7 linked regions of the Canis lupus familiaris genome follow. The protein of the gene in region 2 interacts with the protein of the main gene of each other region in a biochemical or structural test. Links are inferred from orthologs where the notes say so. Each region holds a gene or a part of one and is shown on either strand. Other genes may lie near its edges. The genes, in order: TNS2, ERBB3, SHC3, GRB7, BCAR3, RASA1 and HCK.

Evidence for each region.
Region 1: the proteins of ERBB3 (region 2) and TNS2 form a complex in vitro, tested with the Homo sapiens proteins (2 studies listed by BioGRID and IntAct, with this or other methods). The link is inferred for Canis lupus familiaris from reciprocal best matches to the Homo sapiens genes ERBB3 and TNS2.
Region 3: the proteins of ERBB3 (region 2) and SHC3 form a complex in vitro, tested with the Homo sapiens proteins (2 studies listed by BioGRID and IntAct, with this or other methods). The link is inferred for Canis lupus familiaris from reciprocal best matches to the Homo sapiens genes ERBB3 and SHC3.
Region 4: the proteins of ERBB3 (region 2) and GRB7 form a complex in vitro, tested with the Homo sapiens proteins (2 studies listed by BioGRID and IntAct, with this or other methods). The link is inferred for Canis lupus familiaris from reciprocal best matches to the Homo sapiens genes ERBB3 and GRB7.
Region 5: the proteins of ERBB3 (region 2) and BCAR3 form a complex in vitro, tested with the Homo sapiens proteins (2 studies listed by BioGRID and IntAct, with this or other methods). The link is inferred for Canis lupus familiaris from reciprocal best matches to the Homo sapiens genes ERBB3 and BCAR3.
Region 6: the proteins of ERBB3 (region 2) and RASA1 form a complex in vitro, tested with the Homo sapiens proteins (2 studies listed by BioGRID and IntAct, with this or other methods). The link is inferred for Canis lupus familiaris from reciprocal best matches to the Homo sapiens genes ERBB3 and RASA1.
Region 7: the proteins of ERBB3 (region 2) and HCK form a complex in vitro, tested with the Homo sapiens proteins (2 studies listed by BioGRID and IntAct, with this or other methods). The link is inferred for Canis lupus familiaris from reciprocal best matches to the Homo sapiens genes ERBB3 and HCK.

Annotation. Positions count from the first base shown.
Region 1 is NC_049248.1:44,543,468-44,546,967, reverse strand, and holds part of TNS2 (tensin-2), read right to left. Parts: intron 3,303-3,500; coding exon 3,180-3,302; intron 3,081-3,179; coding exon 3,016-3,080; intron 2,538-3,015; exon of another isoform or gene 2,435-2,537; intron 2,158-2,434; coding exon 2,074-2,157; intron 1,642-2,073; coding exon 1,529-1,641; intron 1,437-1,528; coding exon 1,376-1,436; intron 1,138-1,375; coding exon 1,062-1,137; intron 829-1,061; coding exon 699-828; intron 609-698; coding exon 543-608; intron 447-542; coding exon 333-446; intron 222-332; coding exon 1-221. UniProt on the Homo sapiens protein: Tyrosine-protein phosphatase which regulates cell motility, proliferation and muscle-response to insulin. Phosphatase activity is mediated by binding to phosphatidylinositol-3,4,5-triphosphate (PtdIns(3,4,5)P3) via the SH2 domain.
Region 2 is NC_049231.1:771,852-775,351, reverse strand, and holds part of ERBB3 (receptor tyrosine-protein kinase erbB-3), read right to left. Parts: coding exon 3,337-3,500; intron 3,209-3,336; coding exon 3,053-3,208; intron 2,808-3,052; coding exon 2,732-2,807; intron 2,546-2,731; coding exon 2,399-2,545; intron 2,093-2,398; coding exon 1,995-2,092; intron 1,903-1,994; coding exon 1,714-1,902; intron 1,561-1,713; coding exon 1,489-1,560; intron 1,282-1,488; coding exon 987-1,281; intron 817-986; coding exon 290-816; 3' UTR 1-289. UniProt on the Homo sapiens protein: Tyrosine-protein kinase that plays an essential role as cell surface receptor for neuregulins.
Region 3 is NC_049222.1:97,790,375-97,793,874, reverse strand, and holds part of SHC3 (SHC-transforming protein 3), read right to left. Parts: intron 615-3,500; coding exon 459-614; intron 1-458. UniProt on the Homo sapiens protein: Signaling adapter that couples activated growth factor receptors to signaling pathway in neurons. Involved in the signal transduction pathways of neurotrophin-activated Trk receptors in cortical neurons.
Region 4 is NC_049230.1:22,698,345-22,701,377, forward strand, and holds part of GRB7 (growth factor receptor-bound protein 7), read right to left. Parts: intron 1,868-3,033; 5' UTR 1,863-1,867; coding exon 1,711-1,862; intron 1,606-1,710; coding exon 1,452-1,605; intron 1,266-1,451; coding exon 1,109-1,265; intron 982-1,108; coding exon 860-981; intron 771-859; coding exon 693-770; intron 387-692; coding exon 249-386; intron 1-248. UniProt on the Homo sapiens protein: Adapter protein that interacts with the cytoplasmic domain of numerous receptor kinases and modulates down-stream signaling. Promotes activation of down-stream protein kinases, including STAT3, AKT1, MAPK1 and/or MAPK3. Promotes activation of HRAS.
Region 5 is NC_049227.1:55,859,888-55,864,099, reverse strand, and holds the start of BCAR3 (breast cancer anti-estrogen resistance protein 3), read right to left. Parts: upstream 2,801-4,212; 5' UTR 2,720-2,800; intron 1-2,719. UniProt on the Homo sapiens protein: Acts as an adapter protein downstream of several growth factor receptors to promote cell proliferation, migration, and redistribution of actin fibers.
Region 6 is NC_049224.1:21,209,550-21,213,049, reverse strand, and holds part of RASA1 (ras GTPase-activating protein 1), read left to right. Parts: intron 1-646; coding exon 647-762; intron 763-1,439; coding exon 1,440-1,526; intron 1,527-3,500. UniProt on the Homo sapiens protein: Inhibitory regulator of the Ras-cyclic AMP pathway. Stimulates the GTPase of normal but not oncogenic Ras p21; this stimulation may be further increased in the presence of NCK1.
Region 7 is NC_049245.1:21,973,118-21,977,178, forward strand, and holds the start of HCK (tyrosine-protein kinase HCK), read left to right. Parts: upstream 1-1,261; 5' UTR 1,262-1,547; intron 1,548-4,061. UniProt on the Homo sapiens protein: Non-receptor tyrosine-protein kinase found in hematopoietic cells that transmits signals from cell surface receptors and plays an important role in the regulation of innate immune responses, including neutrophil, monocyte, macrophage and mast cell functions, phagocytosis, cell survival and proliferation, cell adhesion and migration.

The sequences.
Region 1 (3,500 bases), on a different chromosome or scaffold from region 2:
GTCCAGCTCCTGGCGCTCGGCGGCCGTCGGGGGAGGCCGGCCAGGGGACTCGGCGGCCGGCTCGGCGGTCAGCGTGGACGAGTGGCCGGAGTCGCTGCTGACGGAGAGCATGGGGGGCGGAGGTGGCTCCGGGGAGGGTGCCGGCGGGGTCTGGCGGGGGGCCCGCTGCACCTGGGCGTAGGGACTGCCATCCAGAGGTCCCCGGGTGTGGGTGGGGGAGCCTGGCGGGAGAGGACCAGGGAGGGAGTGAATGTCGGGGCCTGCCGGAGGCTCCAGCTCAGGGGCGTCTGCGGCGGGGAGGGAGGGAGTGGGCGGCCGGGCCGGCCCCGCACCGTCCACGCTGTCCTCGTGGTGCTGATTGAAGTGCTCGTAGGAGTCCCAGCGCACGGCGGGCTCTGCGGTGTTGTAGTCAACGGAGACCGAAGGGTCATTCCGTGGGGTGCTGCCTGCGGAAGGGCCACCCAGGTGTTGAGGGCCGGGGTGTCACCTGCAGCCCCGACCTGCAGCCCCGACTTGTAGGCCCGACCGGGGCTGGCTCTCACCTTTGACCTTTTCAGGGCTGGAGGAGAAGACGAACTCCACGGAGGCTTGGAATGGGAACCTCTCATCTGGGAGGGGAGGCGGGGGACACGGTGAGGAGCCAGGTCCCCTGGCCGCCCCCTCCCCGGGCTCCAGCCCCACACCTGTCTCCCACTCACCAGCCCAGGCCTCGTCCAGCTGGTCCTTGGGGAAAGTGAGCCGTGGTCCGTGGATGGTGCACGTGTGGAACTGGACTCGAAACACAAGGGTCCGGTCTGTCCCCCGGCCACCCTTGTGATAGCAGGTCACCTGGATGAGGGAAGGGAGACCGGGGGTCAGGCCTTCCTGTCCGCTGGCGTCCCCTCTGTGCTTCCGTCCTGGGGACTGTCAGGCTGCGGCTCTGCCCTGCCTCAGCTCAAGGCGATGCCCTCGCTGGGGACGGGCTCTCCGCCGGCCAGTGGGCCTCTGGATGACTCACGGGAGACCGTGCAGCTGGCGCGTTCGCCCCCCCATGCACCCCCTCCCCAGGATGGCCCCCTCACCATGACATCGCCCTTGAGGAGGAGGGCCGGCTCCAGGCTGATGCAGAGCTGCTGCGGCCCGGGGCCGGCGATGTGACTGAGGAGGAGAGGGACGGGACAGAGGCTGAATGGGAGGCAGTGGGGCTGGGGTGGCGGCGGGGGTGTGGGGCGTCAGGAGGGAGCCGCGAGCCTGGGGTCTGAGCCCCAGTGAGACGCCTCCAGCTTGCTCAGCATCAGCCTCTCCCTCCTGGTGCACCAGGTGCAGTGGCCGGAGCTGGAGGCGGGGGCGCCTGGGGAGGCTGGAAGGGCAGGAAGGCCGGGAGCAGAGCACTCACTAGATTCCCGAGGTGTAGACCAGCTGCATGGACTGGTAGATCTTGAGGAAGGGCTGGAAGCCTGGAGGGGCAGGCGGGAGAGGGCGCGGAGGGGCGCTCAGCGGAGGGGCTGGAGGACAGGCCTCCCCGCGGGGCGCCTCGGGGCACACTCACCGGTGCCGGGCTCAAAGGCTGGCAGCACGGGCACGAGCACGTAGTGCAGGAAGAGGGGGCTGCTGTTCATTCTGATGGAGCCGGACAGCAGGCCGCTGAAGTAGCTGATGTACCTGCGGGGGTCGGGGGCAGGAGGGGGGGACGTAAGCCTCGCCCCTGGAGGTCCCTCTGTTTCATCTCTACTAAGCACACCCCTGCCCAGCCTTGGAAGGCCGGCCCTTCTCAGCACGCCCCTCCCGTCTCCCGGCTCACTGGAAAGTTCTTCCTCACATCTAACCTCAACCCTCTGCCGTCTCAAAGGTCTGTAGTTGCTGGCTCCCCCGCCTAGCCTGCTCTTCCCCCCAGCCCTCTGCTTCCCATGACGAGGTGGGCTCCGACTGTCCTGCAAGTCTGTCTTTCCCACAAGCTCCGTGAGAGCAGGGACCGTGTTGGGCCTGAGTTCTCAGCGCAGGCCCTGTGTCCCGCGGGTGTGCTGCTCCTACGAGCGACCCTCGGCCTCGGGGCCCGCGCTGCTCCGGTGGCCCAGCCCCACCCCGGCTGCTCACCGGCGCTGGGAGGGCTGCAGCTCCGCGGCCACCTTGTCCTCGCAGAACTTCCTCATGGTAAGCGTGGCCAGCGCCTGGTCTGCCCTGGGGACCGCAGGGCCAAGTGTGGGGGATTAGGGGCTGGTATCTGTCCAGGCCTCCCAACCCCAAGCCCCAGGGGAGGGAGGAGATGTGTGATCCCCTAACTCTAGAGGAAGCCCCGGGGTGGAGGTGGAAAGAACTAGAAGCCCCACATACAGTCACTTGACTACTCGCTGGACCTCAGGCAAGTGTTCCCTGAGTTTTTAGTTTCCTCCTCTGTAAAACGGGGGTGATGAGACCATGTTATGGGTTGAACTGTGTCTCCCCAAAAGATATGTACCTCAGAACGTGACCTTATTTGGAAATAGGGTCGTTGCAGATGGAATTAATTAAGATGTTATACTGGAGTAGGGATGAGCCCTTAATCCACTATGATGGGTGCCCTTAGAAGAAGAGAAGAGACAGACAGACACAGACACACACACAGGAAGAAAGCCACGTGATGACCGCGGCGGAGGCTGGAGGGACGCAGCGGCAAGCCGAGGAGCGCCAAGCACTGCTGGTCACCACCAGAAGCTAGACAGGGGCAAGGAAGGGTCCTGCTCGGGGTCTCAGCGGGAGCGCGGCCCTGCCGGCCTCTCGGTTTTAGACTCCTAGTCTCCAGGGAGACAACTAGTTCCTGTTGTCTTAAGCCACTGAGTCAGTCTGTGACATTTTGTTACAGCAGCTCTGGGAACCTGATACAAATCCTCTGCTGGGAACTGTGGTGAGATACAAGTGAAAAAAGGAGGTGGAAAGGCCAAGTTTATAGGAAACGGCTCTCCAAACACAAAGGGGGGCTTCAAGGGGGATGGGCCCATCACCGGCAGCTGGAGACAGGGTCACTGGGGAAGGGGCCGGTCAGGGGCCAGGGAGCCTCACCCTGCAGAGATCTTGCTGTAGTGCATGTAGGCGGAGACGATGACGCCGAGCTTGCCCTTGCTCCCCTGAGGACAGGGGGAGAGAGAGAGAGAGGGGAATGGAGGGCCAGCCGGCGCCCCAGGCTCAGGGCACCCCAGCCCCGTGAACCCGAGGTCCCAGCCCACCTTGCAGTACAGTACGACCACGTGCTGTGGGTCAGCACTGAGCCACGTCTCCATGGCTTTGCAGATGGAACACAGCTTGTCCAGGGGGGGCGCGTGCAGCTCGGGCCAGCCGAAGTCCTGGACCTGGGCGGGTGTGGGGGTACAACTGAGGGTGGGGGCCGCGACCGGAGAGAGACGGGTGGGGCTGGAAGAGGGAGCGGGTGTAGGGTCAGTCGGGGCCAGGGTCAAGGGGCTCTTGGTCCTCCAGGAGAGCCTCACACTTGCTCGCTGGCACATGGGTTGGTACCTGCTGCGCCATGCTTTGGAGTGTCTCGGGGAGCA
Region 2 (3,500 bases):
ATATCTCCAGGGAGTCCCCCTGAGGAAGCTGACGAATGGGTTTAGGAAAGCACACAAAATAGGGAAAATCTCCTTTCCTGGGATTGGGAAAGAGAAGAAAGTGCACAGCTGGCTACATATCAAGAATTTTGTGTCAAAGTGTTTAAAAGCCTCCAAAGGTTGAATGGAATTGTCTAGGGCTGGGGAAATAGGACTGAGACCTGTGAGGAAGGGACTAGGGAGATGAGGGGTACCCTCTAGAGGCACTAGCTGCCATGAAATGCTCCCTGAGTACTTCAGGGAGCAGGGGTTATGTTCTCTGAGCATCAGCCTTGGGGAAAAGCCTGCTATGCCAGTAATCAGGATTATCGAAAGCGGAGTCAGTGGCTTCTAAACTACGTAGAGGTTTGAGGCGGGCACAGTGGACATGCGGAGCATGGTTTCCAGGCCCCTGGAAAGCTCTCATCTCTTCATACCCTTGCTCAGCGGCTGGGCAGGCCCCCATGGCTGCATAGTCTCCCCCAGGAGCTCCTCCAGCATGTCGCCGATTCATATATTCATAGTCCTCATCTGGGGTTGTGCCAGCAGCGGGCATGAGGGGCACAGGGTTGAGTGGGCAACTCTGTGTGCTGCCCAGGGAAGCGCTGAGGTCTGATCCCACATCCATGTACTCATAACCCAGCTCCTCGAGAGAACTGGGCCTAGGGTGACGAGGTGGACTGTGTCTTCTCCTCCGGTTCATATATTCATACTCCTCATCTTCCTCCTCTTCTTCAGTACCCAGGACAGAACTGATGCCCACTGAAGAAAGGGTGCCTTCCCGGGAGGAGGGAGTACCTAAGGGTTGAGAAGAGAGGGTAGGTATGTGGAGAACATGGTAGTAGCTGGTGGGAACTGGGGGAAAGAGGAAATTATGCAAAGGGAGGGATTAGATCAGAGAAGACAAAAGGATGACGAGGAGCCTGGGGGCAGGGATCAGAGAAAGATTTCTAGGAAGAGTCAGTCACCTTTGAGGTGTGCATCTGGCATGACATATCCATTGACATCCTCTTCCTCCAACCCTGGTGGGGAGAGTGGGGTGACAGGAGTGAGCAGGCTGTGGCGCTGGGAATGGTAGGCACTGTCTCCTCGTGGCCGTGGGCTCCGGCTCCGGCTTCTACACATTGATGCCTTCTCCTGGAGCTCAGCCTCGGACCCTGTCACATGGCCCTCTGAGGACTCTGATGCCAGGCGTCCCCGTGGCATTGGGTGCAAAGAGGCTGGACGGGGGCACCGCTCACCAGTCCCACAAATGGCAGACTCCTAAAGGAGGAAAGTAATACATGGAAATTTATACAGAGACGAAGGAAAAATTGGTATTCCTTTAAGAGACTGGGTTGTTCGATGCCTTCTTTTTTGTGGGGCACTGGTTAAACCTCAAGGATTTCTAAAGCCTCCCACATGGCCCCTATGGATTCTAAGAAACTGCCACCCAGCTTCTCAGCAGCCCCTTAAAGAGACAGACCTTACCTGGCAGGTGTCCCCAAGGTTACCCTGGTTCATAGGCATATATCCAGATGATGGGCTTAAGAGGCTCTGGCTCTAGGATGAAAAAAGTGAAGGTTTAGATTAAGGGAGAAATCTACTCACCCTGGGGGCTTTTAAGTAGTTAATCTGGGCATCAGTGGGGTTCATGAGGGTCTAGGTAGATAGAGGGCTCAGGGTGCAGAGTCTTAAAACTGGGAAATGCCTTACCCCACGGGGCCGATTAAGTGTTCCAACTGGCAAACCGAGGGCAGAGTTTAGTGTGGCCGCCAGGCCATCCTCCTCCGTCTCCAAGTCCAGATCTAGCTCCAGTTCTGGCTCCAGCTCCACCTCCTCCAGTTCCTTGTTTGTCAGAGCAGGGGGCTCTGCCCCGGGGGGAATTCCAGGCCCACTCTCTCTCTGTAGGGGCAGGTGATTGTTAAGATGGATCCTAGTTCCAGCCAAGTCCCCCTTCCTCTAGATCTCCTTGACAACTCCTAACCACTACTCACCTTTATGACCAGATACCGTGGGGGGTCTCGGGCCATCCTGGTGAACTCATTGGCTAGTTCTTTAAAGGTTGGACGGATGTTCTCATCAATCATCCAGCCTGGTGGCAAGATGTAGGAAGCAGAGCCATAAGAGGGGAGTAGAGTAGGGAGGGAAAGCAGTTAGAAAATGGCTGGGGGGCACCCAGGTGGTGCAGTTAAGCATCTGACTCTTGGTTTTGGCTCAGGTCATGAGATTGAGTCCTGAATCAGGCTCCTTGCATAGTGCAGAGTCTGCTTAGGACTCTCTTCCTCTCCCTCTGCCCCTCTCCCTGCTCTCTCGATCTTTCTCTCAAATAAATTAATTATTTAAAGAAAGAAATAAAGAGAAAGAAAGAGAAAATGGCTGGGATCAGCAAGTAACTCACACTTGACCATGACCATGTAGACATCAATGGTACAGATCTGGGGCTGTGCCAATCGCTCCCCCTTCTCTAGCAGATCTGGTACTTCGGCCAATCGTAGCCCAGCATAGGGCTCTGCCCCAAAGGTCATCAGCTCCCAAACTGTCACTCCTGGTAGAGGAAGATATGACTAGTTGATGGCAAAATAATAGACATGGGCATGAAGATGAAGGGAAAGCAGAACTTGATCTCACACAAGGATCTGAAGGGCTCAGAAATTCTGAAAAGGGGGTCTCTCAAAAGGCAACTATGGAATTTGGACCAGTGACAGTATGGAGGGTATCCAAAGGGACTGACCATAACTCCAGACGTCACTCTGATGTGTGTATTTTCCAAAGTGGATACTCTCCAGGGCCATCCACTTAATTGGAGTCTGGGGATTTAAAGGCAAAAGTGTCATCAGTTGACTTCCACAAATTTTCTCACCACTTCTCTGCCCCAAGTTCTCTCTCATTCCTTTCTTTGTTGCTTTCTGAACTTGAATTTCCATCTCCAGGTTCCTCTCCTCAAATGTACTGTGCAGCATCCATTTGCCTCTGAAGGAGACCACTGACTACTCTCTACTCCCATGCTTCACTCCACCCCCACCTCCTTACCCAGCCCTTTGTGTCACCTCACCTTGGCCTCACTGTGTAGTAGTTGCTTATCATCGGGGGGCAGCAGGTCAGCCACCCCAAAATCTGCCACCTGGACCTGACTTGGTGACTTCAGTAGCACATTTCGGGCCGCCAGGTTCCTATGCACCATACCATGCTCCTCAAGGTAGTACATCCCCTACAGAGGAAGGACGTATTCTCAAAGTTGGGTGGAACTGATCCTTGAGATCCAGAATCCTCCCAAACCCTAAGGGCACCTCTCAGAACTTCAACCTCCCTGCCAGCCACCAGCCAGGTTCCTCTCACCTTGGCAATCTGTACTCCCCAATTGAGCAGCAGCTGGGGCCCCAGTGCTCCACGGTGTTGTCTCACATGATCCAGCAGGGAACCCAGAGGCAAGTACTGAGTGACGAGCTGCAGAGATGACCCTGGGCACAGTCCCAGCAGCCGTACAATGTGGGCATGGTCTA
Region 3 (3,500 bases), on a different chromosome or scaffold from region 2:
GAGTGAGCACGTGTGTGCCCGCCAGAGGGTGTATCGCCCTTTCTTGCTCAGGTGTTGTCTTGCTCAACAGACTTGAGGGCTCTGTGAAGCATGCCTTTCACCGTGGCAGCCTTAGCAACTGATCCAGTATTGGGCACCTATCAGCCCACTAAGATTTAAGTGAATACACAAACCAGTGTTGTTTTGTGTGTATTATCATTTGTCCTGACACATGTGCAGATCTCCAGGAGGACAGTCATTCCAGAGAGAGGAGAAATGGCTCTGCTTCTAGACCTGAGAGGGGGTGCCATCCCAAAGCAGAGGGCAGCCAAGCTCAGAGCCTTGGAAAGCCCAATCACAACCCAGAAAAGTGCACAAAGGCATCCCTGTTCACCAAAACCCCGCTAGCAGAAAGCGTGCTAACTGCACAGATGTCAAGCCGAAAGCAGTGCAGAGAGCTCAGAGGAATGGCAACCCACTCATGTCGAAGAGGTCCTTCAGCGGGCTGCTCTCGGTGCTGCTGCCCGAGGCCGGCGTGGCTTGCACGGGGATGTGCTGGGCGTTCACGTAGGTGGGGGCTTCTCCGGGGGCCGCAGGCACTCTCGCTTCCGGCGTGCTGTAGATGTCCAAGGACCCTGCAACAAGAAGACGAACCCTCTTTCCTCTTACAATGGAAACTCTGGTCATTTGGGCACCATAGGTGAGCTGCCCCGCACCTCACAGAGACGTTCCTATGGGCCATCCATCAGGTAACGCCTCCCGCGGGTCCCCATCACCTACATGCTCCTCTTCGGACCCTGTCACCACTGCTCTGCGCTGTCCAGGACAGTCTCCCAGCCTTCATGCCCCCAGCTCTGTGCAGGAGGCCCAGGTGGGCGTGTGATCGAGGACCCCTACCCCCAGGCAGTGCCTCAAGGGGACCTCTCAGCTGGGCCAAGAGCAAGCCAAGGCCAGCCCAGGAGCGAGGGCCCTGCCATTGTCACCCGAGGGGTGAGGGTATTGGGTGATCACACCTGTTCAGGGCACAATGGGAGCCCTGTACCTGACACACAGATATACCCTTCTGCAGGGCCATCTCTGGAGAGAAGTGCCTTTCACACCCTATGGGCAGCCCAGTCCTGTGGGCAAGAGGGCTTTCTAGGCTCCCCAGAACCCATAGTGGGGCTTTTGGCAGCAAAACATGCATGAGAACGCAGGTGTCCCGGGAAAAGTCCTTAGTGGGGAGTGAGACCAGCAAAGTCAAGAACGGTCTCCACTCCTACTCCTGGACACCACTTCACGTGTCCTGAGTTACCTGTCCTGGCTCAGCCGTGGCCATTTGCAGCTCGTGTGTGTAGGTGCTGCAAACAAATCAGCCTGTAGGAAGGATTCTACAGACTAATTTTTTAAAAGGAGAAGATGAAAATCCCAGTGAACAGCTTTCCTGACGATGGCCCTTTCCCTCTCAGACCAGGGCAGGTGCGGAGCTAGGGCAGGGGACACACAGGCCATGAGGGTGCCGGGAGTTAGTTTTCAGTTAGGGATGATGGCTGCCAGCAAGTTAACAAAGGACATTCTTATTCAACAGAAGAAGATATTTATTGCTTTCAAATGAGAAGCAGAAGCTTGTTGAGGCATAGGAGCCCCAAGTTTCAGGCACGTGTCTGCCCTGGCGAGTCTTTATGTTGTCTGGTCTTGATCCGGCCAGGGTGGCTGGAACATACAACAAAAGACCTCATTTTTAAGTGAACCTGACATTTTTCCAAAAAAGTCAATATCTAATGTAAATAATGTGTCTGTTAGGCCTTCGCAGTATTATGTGGTTAGGTACACATCTGTTATATAAATACATTTTAAGTGTTTGTAGAACAAAGATGGAAACATAGGAAAAACGTGCCTCCAGCAAAGTGATGACTCAGGTTAGCTGAGTCTGTCCTATTTTAGATGGAGCCACGTGGTGGCCCTGGCCAGGCCCAACCCTGTGACAGCCCAGCACATCCAGGTCCCCCTGCAGCTGGGTAGGCAACACCTGAGACGGTCTCACCAGGGGGAAGTTCTAAAACTGTACTGTCAATAAATAAATAAATAAATACATACATACATACATAAATAAATAAATAAATAAAATAAAACCGTACTGTCATTTACTCCCCGGCACAAACAGCCGTCAGGAAGGGGAAAGTCTCAACATCAAACCAAGAGATGGTTATATGTATATACATGGACACGTACGTCGGACATTAGGTCTTAATTCACTTGTCGCTCCTTCTCCATCAGACGCTGTATAGTCACCAGGTCTCTGAGTTATTGAAAGAGCAAGAAGATGTTTGAGGGAGCAACACATTTAAAATTAGAAATGCAACTGATGGAGCACCTAGCTCAGGTCGTGATCCCGGGGTCCTGAGATGGAGTCCTGCATGGGGCTCCCCACAGGGAACCTGCTTCTCCCTCTGCCTGTGTCTCTGCTTCTGTGTGTGTGTGTGTGTGTGTGTGTGTGTGTTTGAGTAAATAAATAAAAATCTTTTTTTTTTCTAAAGAAAAGAAATGCAACTGACTTCTGTGCATTGATTTTTGTATCCTGCCACAAATTTGCTGTATGAGTTGCTGATTTGCCACGTGAGTTCTAGCAATCTTAGGGTGGAGTCTTTGGGTTTTTCCATATACCATATATCATGTCATCTGTGAAGAGGGAGAGTTTGACTTCTTTGCTAATTTGAATGCCTTTTATTTCTTTTAATTGTCTGATTGCTGAGGCTAGGACTTCTAGTACTATGTTGAATAGCAGTGGTGAGAGTGGACGTCCCTGTCGTGTTCCTGATCTTAGGGGAAAGGCTCTCAGTTTTTCCCCATTGAGAATGATATTTGCTGTGGGCTTTTTGTAGATGGCTTTTATGATGTCGAGGTATGTTCTCTCCATCCCTACACTTTGAAGAGTTTTGATCAGGAAAGGATGCTGTATTTTGTCAAGTGCTTTCTCTGCATCAATTGAGAGGATGATATGGTTCTTATCTTTTCTTTTATTAATGTGATCTATCACATTGATGCATTTGCAAACAGCCAAACTGTGGAAGGAGCCAAGATGTCCATTGACAGATGAATGGATAAAGCAGACGTGGTCTATATACACAATGGACTATCACTCAGTCATCAGAAAGGATGAATATGTACCATTTACATTGATGTGGATGGAACTGAAGGGTATTATGCTGAGAGTAGTAAGTCAATAGAAGAAGGACATTCATCATATGGTCTCACTTATATGGGGAATATAAGAAATACTGAAAAGGATTATAATGGAAAGGAGGGAAACTGAGTGGGGAAAAATTAGAGAGGGAGACAAACCATGAGAGACTTAACTCTACAGAACAAACTGAGGATTGCTGGAGGGAAGGTGCATGGTGGGATGGGTAACTGGGTGACGGGCACTATGGAGGGCACATAATGTCATGAGTACTGGCTGTTACATGTTGGCAAACTGAATTTTAAAATCAATCAATCAATCAATCAATCAATCAATAAGACATTTAAAAAGTGAATTAAAG
Region 4 (3,033 bases), on a different chromosome or scaffold from region 2:
GCAGATAAGTGCCCCAGGTCACACAGCAAATAGAAGTAGAGCCAGGACTCAGATTCAGTTCCACCTGCCTTTCCCACTACCTTCCTGGGGTAGGTGAGTCAGGAGGGAAAGAGGAGCAGCTGAGGGTCTCAGGTCCCAAGGGGAGAAAGATCCAGGAGTTCCAACAGGGAAGAGACAACAGATAACTCCTAGAAGGACCGGGAAGGGGATATCCTAGGGGCAGAGGCTGTCAACCCTCAAGACCTCACCTTGGAGGTGCCCTTGGTGGAGTAATAGAGGCCAGACCGGCGCAGGAAGCAGAAGAAGCGTTTCCAAAGCTTCCGTCCTGACCCTCGAAGCTGCAGGAAGCCCTGGATCTCTGGGAAGCTGCCTGCATTCAGGAAGTTCTGAGGCCAGAAGAGAGCAGGAAGAGGGTGAGAGGCCAAGAGGGAGACAAGGGAGACACACACACACACACACACACACACACACACACACAGCTTCAGAAGAGAAGGTGCTCCACATGCATTTATTGTTCCATTTCACAGACCAAGAAACTGACACTCAGCCAGGAAGGAGGGACTTGTCCAGTCACCTGGGACTGTGCGAGGCTCCCCACCACATAGAGGGAGGCACAATGCTTGAGGACCAAAAAAGCAATAGGCGATCCTGGGGAATCATGAATATGCCATGGAATGGGGGTGTCCCTTTACCTGGATAAGGTCTTCGTGGGATAGGCCTGTGTGTGCGTCCACACAGCTGGAGACCATCTTTTCTGGGAACAGGGAGTGCTGGGGGGAAGAGTCAGGAATCAGGGACGATGGGCCCAGGCTGGGGGCCCGGGTGTCCCAGTGCCCAGACGCCCTTCACACACACTCACCGGAGAGCTCTTGAACAGTTCGTACTTAGCGAAGTTCTTCCGGAAGACAAAGCGGCTGTCTCCCCCAATGGGCCAGGCAGCCTGCACTTCCACCACGGACTCATGGTCCTCCAAGCCCCGCTCTGGAGTCAAGGGCCGAAAGCAGTGGTCAGCGGACACCAGACAGGCCTCCCAGGGGGGCTACCTGCCTAGCCCAAAGTGTGAAGCATTGCCTCCCTGCCCGAGACAGCCCCTGGCACCCCAACTCACCTAGTGCTAGATGGGGGTGGCACTCCACCAGCCCCCAGTTTTCATCACTCAGGGCATGAGCTCTCTGCACCAGCATTTCACACACGTAGCGGGCTGTAGCACCTGCCGCCACCTCCACAGACCGGCAGGCCCCATCTTCACTGTACACCTTTACTACCTGCACCCCAGGAATTGCAGGTGACTTGAGGAAGGGTGAAGGGGGGTTATTTCCCTTCCCCTGCCTGCTATATCCTCAGGGACTCCTGACTGAATTTCCCTCCCCCCTCCAGGGAGGGGGCACCCTACCCGCCTCAGTCCCATAGCACCCCCATATCCCTGCCTTCTCTCTCCCAAGACAACTCACATGGGGGCAGCTGGCATCTCGAGGGAGCAGCCCCCTTGCACCAGAGGACCCCCCAAGAATGGGGGTCTGTGAAGGAGGACTGCAGAGCTCAGGGAAGGGGTTGGGGATGGAAGGCAGAGAGGTTGACCGTAGCTCTTCCTCTCGAAGAAGATTCCTGTGGCCCGAGGTGGGGGATGGGGAGAGAATTTGTTGACTTACCCAACACTGACTGCCCCCCCCCCCCCACCAGCCCCTTCTCAGCTCCATCACCGCATTGTACCTGCTGGTCGGAATGGGCAGAGGCTGGGACCTCTTCACTTCCCCAGGCAGAGGAGCATCGGGAGGTGGGGGAGTCCCAGGAGGGGTCCCAGGAGCCAAGTACAGGTCTTCTGGGGAGCTGCTGAGATGAGGTGGAGACAGACCCAGCTCCATAACATCTAAGGGAGAAGAGGTGACTGAAAGCAGCTGCTCGTGTGCCCTTGTCCTGCAGAGAAGGGCCAAGTGGACCCAGACCTCCAGACTTCACACCGCTGTAAAGGTACCCCTCCGAGTTGACACGGCACCTTACTGCTCCCCCTCTAACTGGAGTTTCCCTGGAACCTTTGGGGAAGGGTAGCATGAGCCCATTTACAAGAAGGGGACATCAAGTCCCTAAGAAGGAAGCATCCTTGCCCCCATCACAGGTGAGTCAATGAGTGGAACTTTGATGGAACTTTGTTGTTTTGACTCCAAATCTAATGCTCTTCTGTTGGCCCCACATTGCTCAGGGGAAGAGCTAAGAGGGTACCCCCGCACACACCAGCTGGGCAGCAGCAACAGACTCCATGACCCACATACGGTCGAGGCTGACTCTGTCTCTGAGCTTGCCCCGAGCATGGGACACTCACTCCTCTGGGCTTTGCCCCGGGTTTTTCCAGTGCTTTGTTGCCAGATCTAGTTGCCAGAGCCTGTTGTGGCAACGCCTGCCCAAGTGCTGAGTGATGGCCAGAAGGGGAGAAGGAGGTGGAAAAGGACAGGAACCAGGAGGGCAGGAGGCAGACTCAGACAGGACTAGCCTGGGGACCCTTGCCCCAGCAGCCCCTAAACCTTGCGTGCCCTCTCCAGACTCCTCCTCCTGCCCAACTTTCCTGAAGCCCCAATGCCAAAGTCACCTCCTCTGAGCAGCCTTCCTGGATTTTCCGCCTTCAGACTGAAGGGCTCCCTCTCTGCACTGGCCTCTGTGCCAATGAAGCGCACCTGTTTTGTCCACCCACTGGTCTGGAGCCACCCAGCACTCCCGGGCAGGGCCAGAGTCTCACCCACGTCCTAGCACCCACAGGTGCTGCAGAGGAGGGCAAGTGAGGACAGGAGAGCAGAGGCAAAGATGCCCACTGGGGACAGAGGCAGCACAGACCCCTCTGGCAGGGCTAGAACCTGGGAGGACCTGGGAGAACCTGAGACCTAGGCCAGTGCCTTGAGGCAGCCTGCAGCACCTGGCAATGGAGCAGGCCCCTGACCCTTAAGTGAGGGGATCTGGGGGACAGGTGAGTCAGGGTGGGGCGGGACAGCACTGCCTGGGGCTCTCTATTCAACCTTGACTCATCTGCACGACTTCCTGGCTTAG
Region 5 (4,212 bases), on a different chromosome or scaffold from region 2:
TCCATTCCCGTAGGGGAAGGCCACTGGGCCCGGGCCCTCGGCATGGCCAGGAAGTGATGTGTGGGGTGGCCCCTGGTCCCTGCCCTGGGATCAGGAATGCATATGGCTCCACTGTTGTAGCTGAGACCTTTGTTCCTTTCAGGCCTTCGCGGGCCTTTCGTTAACCTCCTGCCCAGGGTCCCAGGGAGGAGCGCCTATCTTTAACAAAGGATGTGGATTTCCTGCTTGGTTTTAGTTTGTTTGAATTTTATTTTTGTCTCAAAAGCCTGAGACATCTTTCTCTGCCACACAAGCCAAAAGAAAACAAGCCTTGGGAGGTGGACTGTGGGGACTGGACATGCCCAGAGAAACAACCTGTCCCAGAGATAGAATCTCAATTTTGGACTGGGGGTAGGTAAAGGAAAATGAGGCCTACATGATAGCCAGTGAAGGAGGCTGGGAGTTTTAAACAGGTGGGACTGGAAGGCAGGCCCCCCGATTGCTCTTCCTGGTAAAGGCTGGTGGGTTTTCATGCTGGAAAGGCTGCCTTGCTCACATTTTTCATCCTGTGTGGTCTCTAATTGGAAAGGGAAGTTGCATTCCAGTGTGAAAAAGAAGCCACTTGGCTACCTCCCTCTAGGGACTTCACGGCAGGGCCTCTGTCCCTGCAGACCTAGAAAAAAGGGCCGGCTCTCTGTCCAGGGCAAAAGGGGCTTTGGGCAAACCAATTGGGTGGCAATAAAATGATTAACAAGGGCGAGAGATTGATCCCATTGGGGCTCGGACAGTGCTTGGGGATATCAGGCAAAGTGAGACATAAGAGAAGCCCTAGAAAGGAGAGTAGGGGGCCCCTTGAGTTAAGATGCCAGCTGCTGATGGCTGGGGGCCTACAGGAAAGAATTGTCATCCCAACGGTCTCATCGTAAGTGGTCTTCTGAGGTCTGTGTCCATTACTGGCCAATAGCACCTTCTAGGCTGCTTCCACTTGGCCAACACTAACTACAGGCCAATATACCTGCGGGAGACCTTGTTTGTTGGATTATTTAGAAACTCCCAGGAGATAGACCCCCATCCAACTTGTACCTGTAAGCAGAGCCTGCAGAATTCAGAGAGCTGCCTTCAATTCTTCCTTGTCCAAGAAGGAGCATCAAGCCATCACATTTCATGCTTCCTGCTGGCATGGTGAGGCTGCATCTACATAATTGGTTATCCAGTATGAGCAACCCCAAAGCCCCTCCTGCCCCCCAGCTCCAGTGGCAGAGGATGGACACTCTCCTCTGAAAAGTTTTTCCTAATGGATTTTTTGAGAGGTGGCCCCTATTCTGGGATGAGCTGTAGGAGAGGATGGCAGAAAAGAGATAGAAGGTCCCCTCTGCCTCACATACTCCACTGGAGTGTCTCTTCTACCCCTGACCTGCCTTCTGTACTGGAGGGTACCTCCTGCTGGGGCTGGAGGTGTTCTCAAGAATGTCTCCCCACATCCCACCTGCAAATATCTCTGAGAGGAGCAAGCCCTCCAAGCTGCTATTAGCCAATACCCCAGAAAGCAACATCCTGAAGGGCTCAAGGGAACTGACGAGCAAGGGAGACACTATGAGACCTACCTTGTTTAAATACCAGCCCCCAGCTTTCTATCCTACCACCCTCTTCTCCCCCCACATGACTCTTCCTCTCTATCCCATGACACTCATTGCCTCCTAGCAACACTACAACATATAGCTACCTGTTCATGCTTGCTATCTACGTCCCACCTGATGTAAGCTCCATGAGCGTAGAGACTTTAACCACACTTGTTCACCAATATTGGTGAATATTGTTCACCAATATGTTCCAAGTGCACAGAACATTTCCTGGCACCTGGTAGGTACTCAAAAAATACATATTGAGTAAATGGGCTGAATGTGGGATATGGTTGCATTATGGTATGTGAAATATTAGATGAAGCCTCCAAAAATAAGCATAAGTTGGGCCTGTGATGCTCTTAAAATGGCCCGGCCTGCCCTGTATTTCCTTTGTTGATGAAGCTGAGAATCTTCCCATGTGTTTACCAAACATTTGTGTGGGTTTTTTTTTTTTTTTTCTCTGTGTGTGAAATGCCTGTTTTGTCTCTTGCTCATTTAACCCCTTGGATTGTTTGTCTTTTTCTTTTAGACTTATAGGAATCCTTTATATATTCTGGAAACCAATCCTTTGTGATTATATGCATTTCTCCCAGTTTGGAGTTTGTCTTTTAATTTTCTTTATGGTGTAATAATTTTATTTTTTTAAAGATTTTATTTATTTATTCATGAGACACAGAGAGAGAAAGAGGCAGAGACACAGACAGAGGGAGAAGCAGACTCCCTCTGGGGAGCCTGATGTGGGACTCAATCCTAGAACCCCAGGATCACCCCTGGAGCCAAAGGCAGACTCTCAACCACTGAGCCATCCATGTGTCCCTATGGTATAATAATTTTAATGTAGTTTCATTCATTAATCTTTTCTTTTAGGATTAGTACTATGTCTTATTTAAGGATGCTTTCCCCCCCCCAGAACTCATAAATAGATTCTCCAGTATTTTTTCTAAAAGTTTTAAAGTTTTGCTTTTACATTTAATTCTTCAATCTGTTAAGAATTTATTTTGGGGGATGAGGCAAGTAGATAATTTGTATTTGTTTCTGTCTAGATTCAGAGTGATGCTATTAATCTGGGACCATTTAAGCCCCTTAAGAGTTTCTTGGGTTCAATGTGGCCATCTTACCTTGCTACTGGACCAAGGCTCCCATGCCCAGACTGGCTCCCATATTGACACTTATTCACAGGTCGACTTTTACTCCTGGATGCAATTTTGGATTCATCTTCCATATTCTGGGGAGAAAAGGTTGGAAGAGAACTTAGTCACCATACTTCCTGTAAGCCTAGCAATGTCTTCAAAATTATACTTCATTTAAGAATTCAGGATCTAGGGGCACCTGAGTGGCATGGTCGGCCAGGCATCCGACTCACAATTTTTTTTTTTAAGATTTTTATTTATTCATTTGAGAGAGAGAGAGAGAGCACACGAGTGGGGCCAGGAGGCAGAGAGAGAAGGAGAAGCAGACTCCCCGCTGAGCTGGGAGCCCCATGTGGGGCTCGATCCCAGGACCCGGAGACCACAACCTGAGCCAAAGGCAGATGTTCAACCATCTGAGCCACCCAGGTGCCCCTGACTCATGATTTTGACTCAAGTTATGATCTTAAGGGATGTGAGATCAAGCCTTGCATTGGCTCAGTGGGGAGGCAGCTAGAGATTTTCTCCCTCTGCTCTTCCCCCTTGCTCATGTGCTCTCTCTCTCCCTCAAATAAATAAATCTTAAAAAAAAAAAGAATTCAGAGTCTAAGAGTTTTATAATGGGACAGTATTTCAGCATATCTGTGGTCCACCAACTCTTACCCTCTATTCAGAGAGCAGATACATTTTAATTCAGACTGTACACTCTAGGTCAAACTACCAACTTAAGAAACAATTACTCTTGCAAAAGTAATACACATTCACTGTACAAAATTTGAAATAAAAAAGTACAAAGAAGAAAATTTAAATAATCTATAGATAAGTTCCCATCCTAGGGTATAACATTTTTAATATTTGAGTGTGTGTAGTGGTTTGAGTGTGGTCTCCCAAAAGTTGTGCCCACCCAGAACCTTTAGATACTATCATTATTTGGAAAAAGGGTCTTTGTAGATGTAATTAAGTTATGGATCTCAAGAGGTGCCTATCCTGGATTAGTGTGGGCCCTGAAACCAATGCTAAGTCCTTAGAAGAGGAGAAAAGAGCTAAATAGACATGGGTAGATAGGCATGTGAAGACAGGAGGTAGAGACTGGAGTCAGGCAGCCACCAGAAACAAAAGAAAAGATTCTCCCCAAGAGCCTCTGTAGGGAGTGTGGCCCTGCTGACACCTAGATTGTGAACTTCTGGCCTCCAGAAATGAGAGAGAATAAATTTCTACTGTTTTAAGCCACTCAGTTTATGGTAATTTGCATTAGCAGCCCTATATAACCAATGGTATAGATCTGTTATAGGTCAACTTCCCCAAAAAACAGCTTCAAAAGCAGAGATTTGCATACAGGTAGTTTATTGGAGAATTCTCTCAGAAATGATGCCTGCAGGGTTATAAGAGAGGTAGGGATTGGACAGGGGGAGAGAGAAACTGAGAGGTGGTTGTCACAGAGGCCTCAGCCTATCCAGGAGCCCTGACGCTGGCACGGCCTTTTA
Region 6 (3,500 bases), on a different chromosome or scaffold from region 2:
TGAAGTAAGTCTGCAGAGAGTCTCTGGCTGAGTCCTTAGATTCAGGCTAGGGAATTCAGACTTACGTAGATGAATCTACTCCACTGATTCTAGATCAGAAGTCTTAGATTTTCAAGGGCTACTGGAAAAATTTTGAGAAAGGTTCATTATTCTGTCTACAGCATTCAGAAAAGCCTTTCTATTTTAATATGAGGGTTGTTTCAAATATAATTAAAGATTTTATAATACATGGTGATCATTATTCTCAAATACTCAGTATATTTATGTGTATGTGATCACTAAAGCTGGATTTCTGTCTTGTAGTTGAGAATATTGTTTTAAAAATAAAGTCTAATCTAATTTCTGTGGCTATTAAAAATCTGTGGTAAATGAATAAGAGAACTTTATCACTGTTATGAATCCCAGAGCAACTAAAATGTTCTGAGTAATCACTGCTTATTGTACAGTTGAGTAATTGGGAATCAGTGGTAAATGAGTTCCATAGAGCAAACTACTTAAGAATTCCCATTTATACCCACCCCCCCCAAGAGCTAAAACAGATTGAAAAATGGAAAAACAGAGAACCTTGAAGAACTACTGTTTACCTTGATTCATTTGCATTTATCATTGCCAAGATGCATTTATATTAATTTATTCCTTCTCTTAGTTAAGTCCATCAAAGTTAGAAAAAAATGAAGACGTGAACACTAATTTAGCACACCTATTGAACATACTTTCAGAGCTTGTGGAGAAAATATTCATGGCTTCAGAAATACTTCCACCGTAAGTGGTGAAATTTTAATTTGACAAACGGTACTGCATTTTGAAAAATCTGTATTTCTAAAACATGTAAACTTTTGAACTATCTTAATGTTTTTTACTCTGGAAGTTTTTTTTTTTTTTTTGTCTTTACAAGGTAAACTGTGTTTAAGGCAAAAGAGTGACTTGAAGAAACCATGGTGGTGAAATATTTACATTAAAACAAAATTGTGTTTTCATACAGGCTAACATGTCTGGTTTATATAGTAACTTGGGTCATGAATAGAGACTTATAATCTCAGATTTGAGATCATAGATATCTTAGTTAAACGGACACCAGTTTGTACCTGCTTAATAGCTTTTAGTGTAAGTGAATTCACTTATTTAGGTAGAAGTTATCCTATATCACTGGAATCTGAACTTATTTCCGGTACTTTTCCCCGCATTAATACAGAGGCACTGTAAGAATGTTAAGATTTCTTCCAAAGTAAATGTAAAGAATTGACTAAATGATGATGAAAACTATTTGTTTTCCTTATCCCTTGCTGAGTGTGTCCTTCCTTCCTTGTAACAGAGTACTTTTTTGGGGGGAAAGGCCAGTTGCATTCATATGTGTATTTACTAAATTAAGCTTCTGGCAGCAATGAGATCAGCATTTTTCCCTTGGTTTGTGTATTGAGATGATTGTGTTGTTTTGGCAGGACACTGAGATATATTTATGGGTGTTTACAGAAATCTGTCCAGCACAAGTGGCCTACAAATACCACCATGAGAACGAGAGTTGTTAGGTAAGGCTCATCAATTTACTTGTTATATATCATTGTGTATAGTATGCAGAGTGGCTGAAAATTTGGAGTAACAGTATACAACTCAAGACTTTTTTATTTTACTTTTATCTCAGAACCCTGTTGAATATTGGCTGAGTTCGGACAGCTACTAAGTTTTAACTTTATTTTTGGGGGGACGTTACCAAGAGATATTTAGCTACTTTGTGCATTTCTGAAAACCTCAACGCTTACGTATAATCAATTCACTATTGGGAATTTTTATCCTGTGGACAGAAAGGTTAAAAGTTACATAACCAGCAAACTCTTTAGCTAACTTTATATAGTAGTAATCGTATACACATCACATTACCTACACGCATGTACATACATCTAGAGAGGAAGAAGAGGGAAGGGAAGAGTGGGAGGAGTGAAACAGAGCTTGATGTGGTGCTACCAAGGAAGAGCAATAACGGAACCACTGCGGTGCTGACTGATGGGTTTGTAGCAGTGGTTCTGTGCTAAGCTCCAAGCCAGAACCTCCAGTTCCAGTGAGCTTGCCACACAGTAATTAGGAGGAATTGCTTTGGGCAAGTCACAGGATGTTGTACCTCCTGTACGGCAGCGGGACACACTTTGATATCACTATTTTAACTTTTTCTGATGAGGAAGCAGATCTGTAGAAGTTAAAATTGTTTGCTTAACTTTATATAGAAAGGGGTCGTACTAAGGCAGAACTAAAGGCCAGCCTTCTAAGATCCAGTCAGATCTCTGACACCATTGTAGGCTTTTGATAGGTACACCCGGCCCACTGAAGACCACTGGAAATCAGTGTCAAAGCATCAGAGAATATAGGGGTCTACTAATAATAGATTCAGTAGAATACATCCTGCTGTCATGTTATATCCCATTAAAAAAAAACAAAAAAACAAAAACTAGACAACCACTGAAGACACCAATAGCATACATTTAGTTTTGAAAAAAAAAGTGTTAATCCTGCCCTCAACCAAAGTTTTGTAAAGAGGCTTCTACTTTCGTAGAGAATATTTCTCTTGGTTAGTAATGATATGACATAAGAACGAATGACAGATTCTCTATTTTTTCACTAGTGGCATAAGTTTCAGCACAGTTTTGTGTGTGATGTAAATTAAAGCCTCTGTAAACTGTTTCAAACAAATATAATTGTTAAGCAAACACAGCAGGAATTTCTGCTGTGTGAATCGTCTGACACGATAGGGTTTTTAAGGGGTATTGATGCCCAAGGTGATGATTTCTGTCCCTACTAACAAGCCTTTAAATATATATGTATGTATCTAGTATTCCTTTTAAATTTAAAATCACCTTTACAAATTCACAGAAAATAGATTTGTATACTGAAATTCTTTCATGATTAAATTATAGGTTATGGTTCAAATTCAAACAAGTATCAAAATGTTTTCAAGCAAATTTGTGCAAGATTCTTCATAAATTAGTTTAAAAAAATATTTAAAGAGCTGATAATTGTGTATTATAATTGCAATAAATGGTATCTGAGAAGTAACAATCATTTTCTAAGAGTCCAAAAAGTAGTAAGCTGTCATTAGGTTGGAAAGTAAATGTCATAAAGTTGACTTATCCTCTCTGTAATGGAGAAGGTGAAAAGTGAGGTCTTTTTAATAAAAGCTTTATATTTATAGCATTCTATTGTATACATTTCCATTTATCAAGAAGTCACTTTTCTCTACTAGAATGGATTCTTATTTTTAGGATTCACCAGCAAAATCAGTTATAATCAACTTGATTTATACAGATTTTATTTGGCTATTCTATTTAAATAAGGAAAGAAAGAAGTGAGAGAATGAGAGTTTTAGCACCATATAGGCCTGTCTCTATAAAAAGGATTAATTCATACTCCTATAGTATTTCAGAAAATCTTAGTGTTCCTAAAGCTACTGCTTCCTCAGAGTAAGTATACTGGAATAAATAAGGAGTTGTCAAGACAGTAAATGTTACAGATGT
Region 7 (4,061 bases), on a different chromosome or scaffold from region 2:
AGTTGAGAAACCCTGTGTAGCCCAGCACTCAGCACAGTATTGCTGAATGAATGAATGAATGAATGAGTGAATGAAGAGATGACGGTGGCCTGAAATGGCTGGTAACAGAGGGAATACAGAAAAGCTGTAAAATTCTTACACATCTTGTGTGCTTGGCAGACTTTAGTGCGACAAAGCTCTTTTTCCAGAAGCAGTTGTGCTCTGCCCTTGCCTGGTGCTGGGCACATCTCATTCATGTGGGGCCTCCAGGTGCCCTCCAGCTGGGCATCCTGCCTCCTCAGTTTTCAAAGTCCTCTGAGCTTCCCAGCTGCCGGAAACCGCCAAGAATGAGCCAGGGTGGTGCCTGCGGGTGAGAAACTTTGCTTGCCGTTTGAATAGCGCGGGGCCTGTGGAGCGGAAACCGCTGACCACAGAAGGACCAGGAAGGCCTGGGACACGGTGTGGGGGAGGGGCCTGGGCTCCAAGAGTGGATTGGAGTGTAGAGAAAACCGATCAGAATGCTTGGGGCGGGGGATTAGAATCCTGCGAGAGTGCCGAGGTAAAGGTTTAGGATCCTTGTGGGTCACGTTAGAATCCTTTGATGAGGGGTTAAAGTCCTTGAGGGTAGGGTTGGAATTTTTGGATGGATCGGATTGGAATCCGAGGGGGGATTAAAATCCTTTGGAAACAAGATTGGGATTATTCGGGAGCAGGATTAGAATCCCTGGGGTTAGGGTTATGAATTTGGAGGGCTGGGTCAGAATCCTTTGAAGAGAAGGGATAAAATCCTTCCGTTGGCCGGATTAGAATCCTTGGGGGACAGGATTAGAAATCTCCTGTGGGTGAGGCTAAAAAATCCTTCAAATGTGAAATTCAAAATCATTTGGGGGCAAAACGAGGATCTTGGCAGGAGACGGTGTTGCGGTTCTTGGGAGGACGAGTTTAATCCCTTTGGCGACCACATTAAGGTTTGGGGAGGCGGGGATTATAATGCATTAGGTTAAGTGCTTGGAAGAGGGCGTGGGGTTAGGATCTTTGGGGGACGGATTAAAATTCTTAGGGGCAGGTTTATTATCCTTCCGGGCCAGGGTTAGGATCCTTAGGGGCAGGGTTGGAAGCCTCTGATGGGCGGCGTTTAAAAAAAAAAAAAAAAATCCTTGAGCGGTGGGATTAGGGTGCTGGGAGGAAGGGCCTGGGATGAGAGTCCACGCTGTGGGGTCAGAGTCTTCAGGGGCGGGGTTAGGATACACGGGGGTGGGGTTAGCATCGCTCAGGGCGCGGCTAAGGAGCCCAGATGGCCTGTGGGTGCCACCGAGTCCCCGGTCCCAGCCCGAGCGCACCGCTGAGGCCGAGGCGAGCAGGAGGGGGCGCCGGGGGTTCAGCGCCAGGGGAGCCCGAGAAGCCGCGCGGCGCCCAAGCCCCTCAGAGGCCGCCCTTTGCCTTTTCTCCAAAGTCAGCCCGTCTCCCTTCGGGTGCGGGCGCCCCGGGAGTCCGGGGGCTGCTGAGCTGGGGGGGCGTTCGAGCTGCGAAGATCCGGGCTGCCCGCAGGAGGAGGAGCGGGCGCCCAGGTGAGTGGCGCGCGGACGGCGGAAGCGGGAGGGTCTCCGCGGCGGGGGACGGTGGGGGGAGCCCAGCGGGGGGGCAGGGCCGGCTGGAGGGCGGCAGGAAGGGGCGGTCCGGGAGCGGTGGACGCGCGGAGGGACCGGGGGCCCGCGACGAGGGCCGGGCTGGCCGGGCTGCGTGCGAGCCTGGAGGAGCCCTAGGGGAGAGGAGCCCCGGCCCCCGACGGACTTGGGTCCAGCCTCCGCTCCTCTGAGCCGTCCAGGTTCCCCTTCTGCAAAAGAAAAAAACGAGAAGGAAGGGATGAGGCTCTACCGACCGAGAAGGGAAGGCCCTTACGGCCCCTGGTGGGGGTGGGTGACGGGTCACGGCAGGTTGGCGGCGGGTTGGCAGCCCGTGGTGGGGAGGGGGACAGCTGGCCGGAGGCGTGCGGTGCGAACCACACCCAGGCGGGCCTGCAGCTGGGCCCACTCTGCGCTCCCTCCTCCTCCCGCGCTGGGCCCTGATCCCCAGCAGGTCTGGGTCAAACCTCAAAACCTCCTGGACAGACCACAGGGTGTCTCCCCGCCTCCTTTCCGCTTCGGTGAGACCTTGGGCCGAGTCGTGCTCCCTTTCCGAATTCCAGTTTTCTCCTCCGTCAGATAGGGCTAGATTCTTTCTCCAAGGCTACAGTGAGCTGGAGTCTGTGGGGGTCATGCAAGGGGAAGTGGGATTCTGGGAGCAACCTGCCTGTTGACCTTTAGCAAGGGATTTGGTCTTCCTAGGCCTCTGCTTTTCCACCTATAGGATAGGGATATTAATAATAATGACTCCCTCCCAGGGTCGTTTTGAAGGTTAGGTTAAGTTATTCATGGAAAGCTCTTGGAGCGTTAGGTCACAGGTATAGGTGCTTAGTACTCGTGAACTATTGTCGCTATTACCGTCTAGCCAGTGCTTCCCAAATGTTAGCAGTACACCTGGGAGGCTTGTTAAAACACAGATTTCTGGGCCCTGACCCCAGAGTTTCTGATTCAGTAGGTCTGGCTGGGGAATCTGAGAATTTACATTCCCAGGTGATGCTGCTGTTGCTGGTCCAGGGACCACACTTTGAGAACCATTGCTGTAGCCTTTGGCCAGCACAGAGAAAGACTTCAATAGATATTGGTTCCTTTATCCCATGGATTTCTCTTCACTATCCTTTTTTTTTTTTGGGGGGGGGGGGAGGATATTAAAATAAAGAAAAGTGAAAGAAATAATATAGTAAATATCCCATGAACCCACCACCCAGAATTAAATGTTTCCCTCTGGCTTTTTAAAAAATAAAAGTCTTAAAAGTAACAGATAATACTGAAGCCTCTCCACTTGTCTCTCTCAGTCCTGTTTTTCTCTCTGCCCAGAGGCAACCAGTCATGAAATATAGTCCTTTCCAGTCTGTGCCTTTATGAATTTATTACATAGATATGGATGCATAAATAATACATAGAATTGTTTTTCTGTGTTTTAAAGATCTCCAAAAACGCTATCCAGCTGTGAGATTCTTCTGCAATATCGTTTTTCTATTCCTTGCCTTATCATTAAGTTGTCAAGGTCTAGCCAGGATGAGAAACAAAGGCATGCATAGTTCATTCTTTCTCAGGGCAGTATTTCTGCAAGTGACCATCCTATCTTATTTCTCATCCCCCAGTTGTTGGACATTCAGATGTGTAGCAAGGCTTTTACTACAATAAACTATTCTGCTGGGACCATCCTGGATGTATGGCCCTGGTGAAGGTGGGAGGGTGCAGGTGTTTCTTGGGAAAACACTGAGGGCTGGATGGGTCTCCAGAGGGGGCATCTGTGAACCTCTCTTGTGTGCAAGGAGGACTGAGACCTGAAAGGGTCACCCAGGTAGTCTGGATCAGAGACGACAGAGAGTCTGGCTCTGCTGACCTCCCAGGCCTCCTGTTCCAGGTCTGTTTTCCACTGCAGGAGAGCAAAGATCTTCATTTGCCTGACACTTGGTAAAAACTCAAACAATGGAAGAATGACTCCTTTTTAAAGTTTTTTGGGGCAGCCCAGGGTGGCTCAGTGGTTTAGCGCTGCCTTCAGCCCGGGCCGTGATCCTGGAGACCTGGGATCGGGTCCCATGTCAGGCTCCCTGCATGGAGCCTGCTTCTCCCTCTGCCTGTGTCTCTGCCTCTCTCTCTCTCTCTCTCTCTCTGTGTGTGTGTCTCATGAATAAATAAATAAAATCTTTTTAAAAAAGTTTTTTGGATAACAGATATTTTAGTTTACTTTTGTGTAGTCTTCTTTTCTGTGTGCTTTTTATTTAACGTAATCAGTAAACTGCTGTGGTATACAATTTTCATCCTACTTCTTTGCTTAGCCCTATATTATAAACATTTATCTATGTCATTAAAATCTCCTAGGATTTTTTTAATTGTCAATTTATTTTTTAAGTTTATTTATGTATTTAAGTAATCTTTACACCCAACGTGGGGCTCGAACTCATGACCCTGAGATCAAGAGCTGCATGATCCTCCAACTGAGCCAGCCAGGTGCCC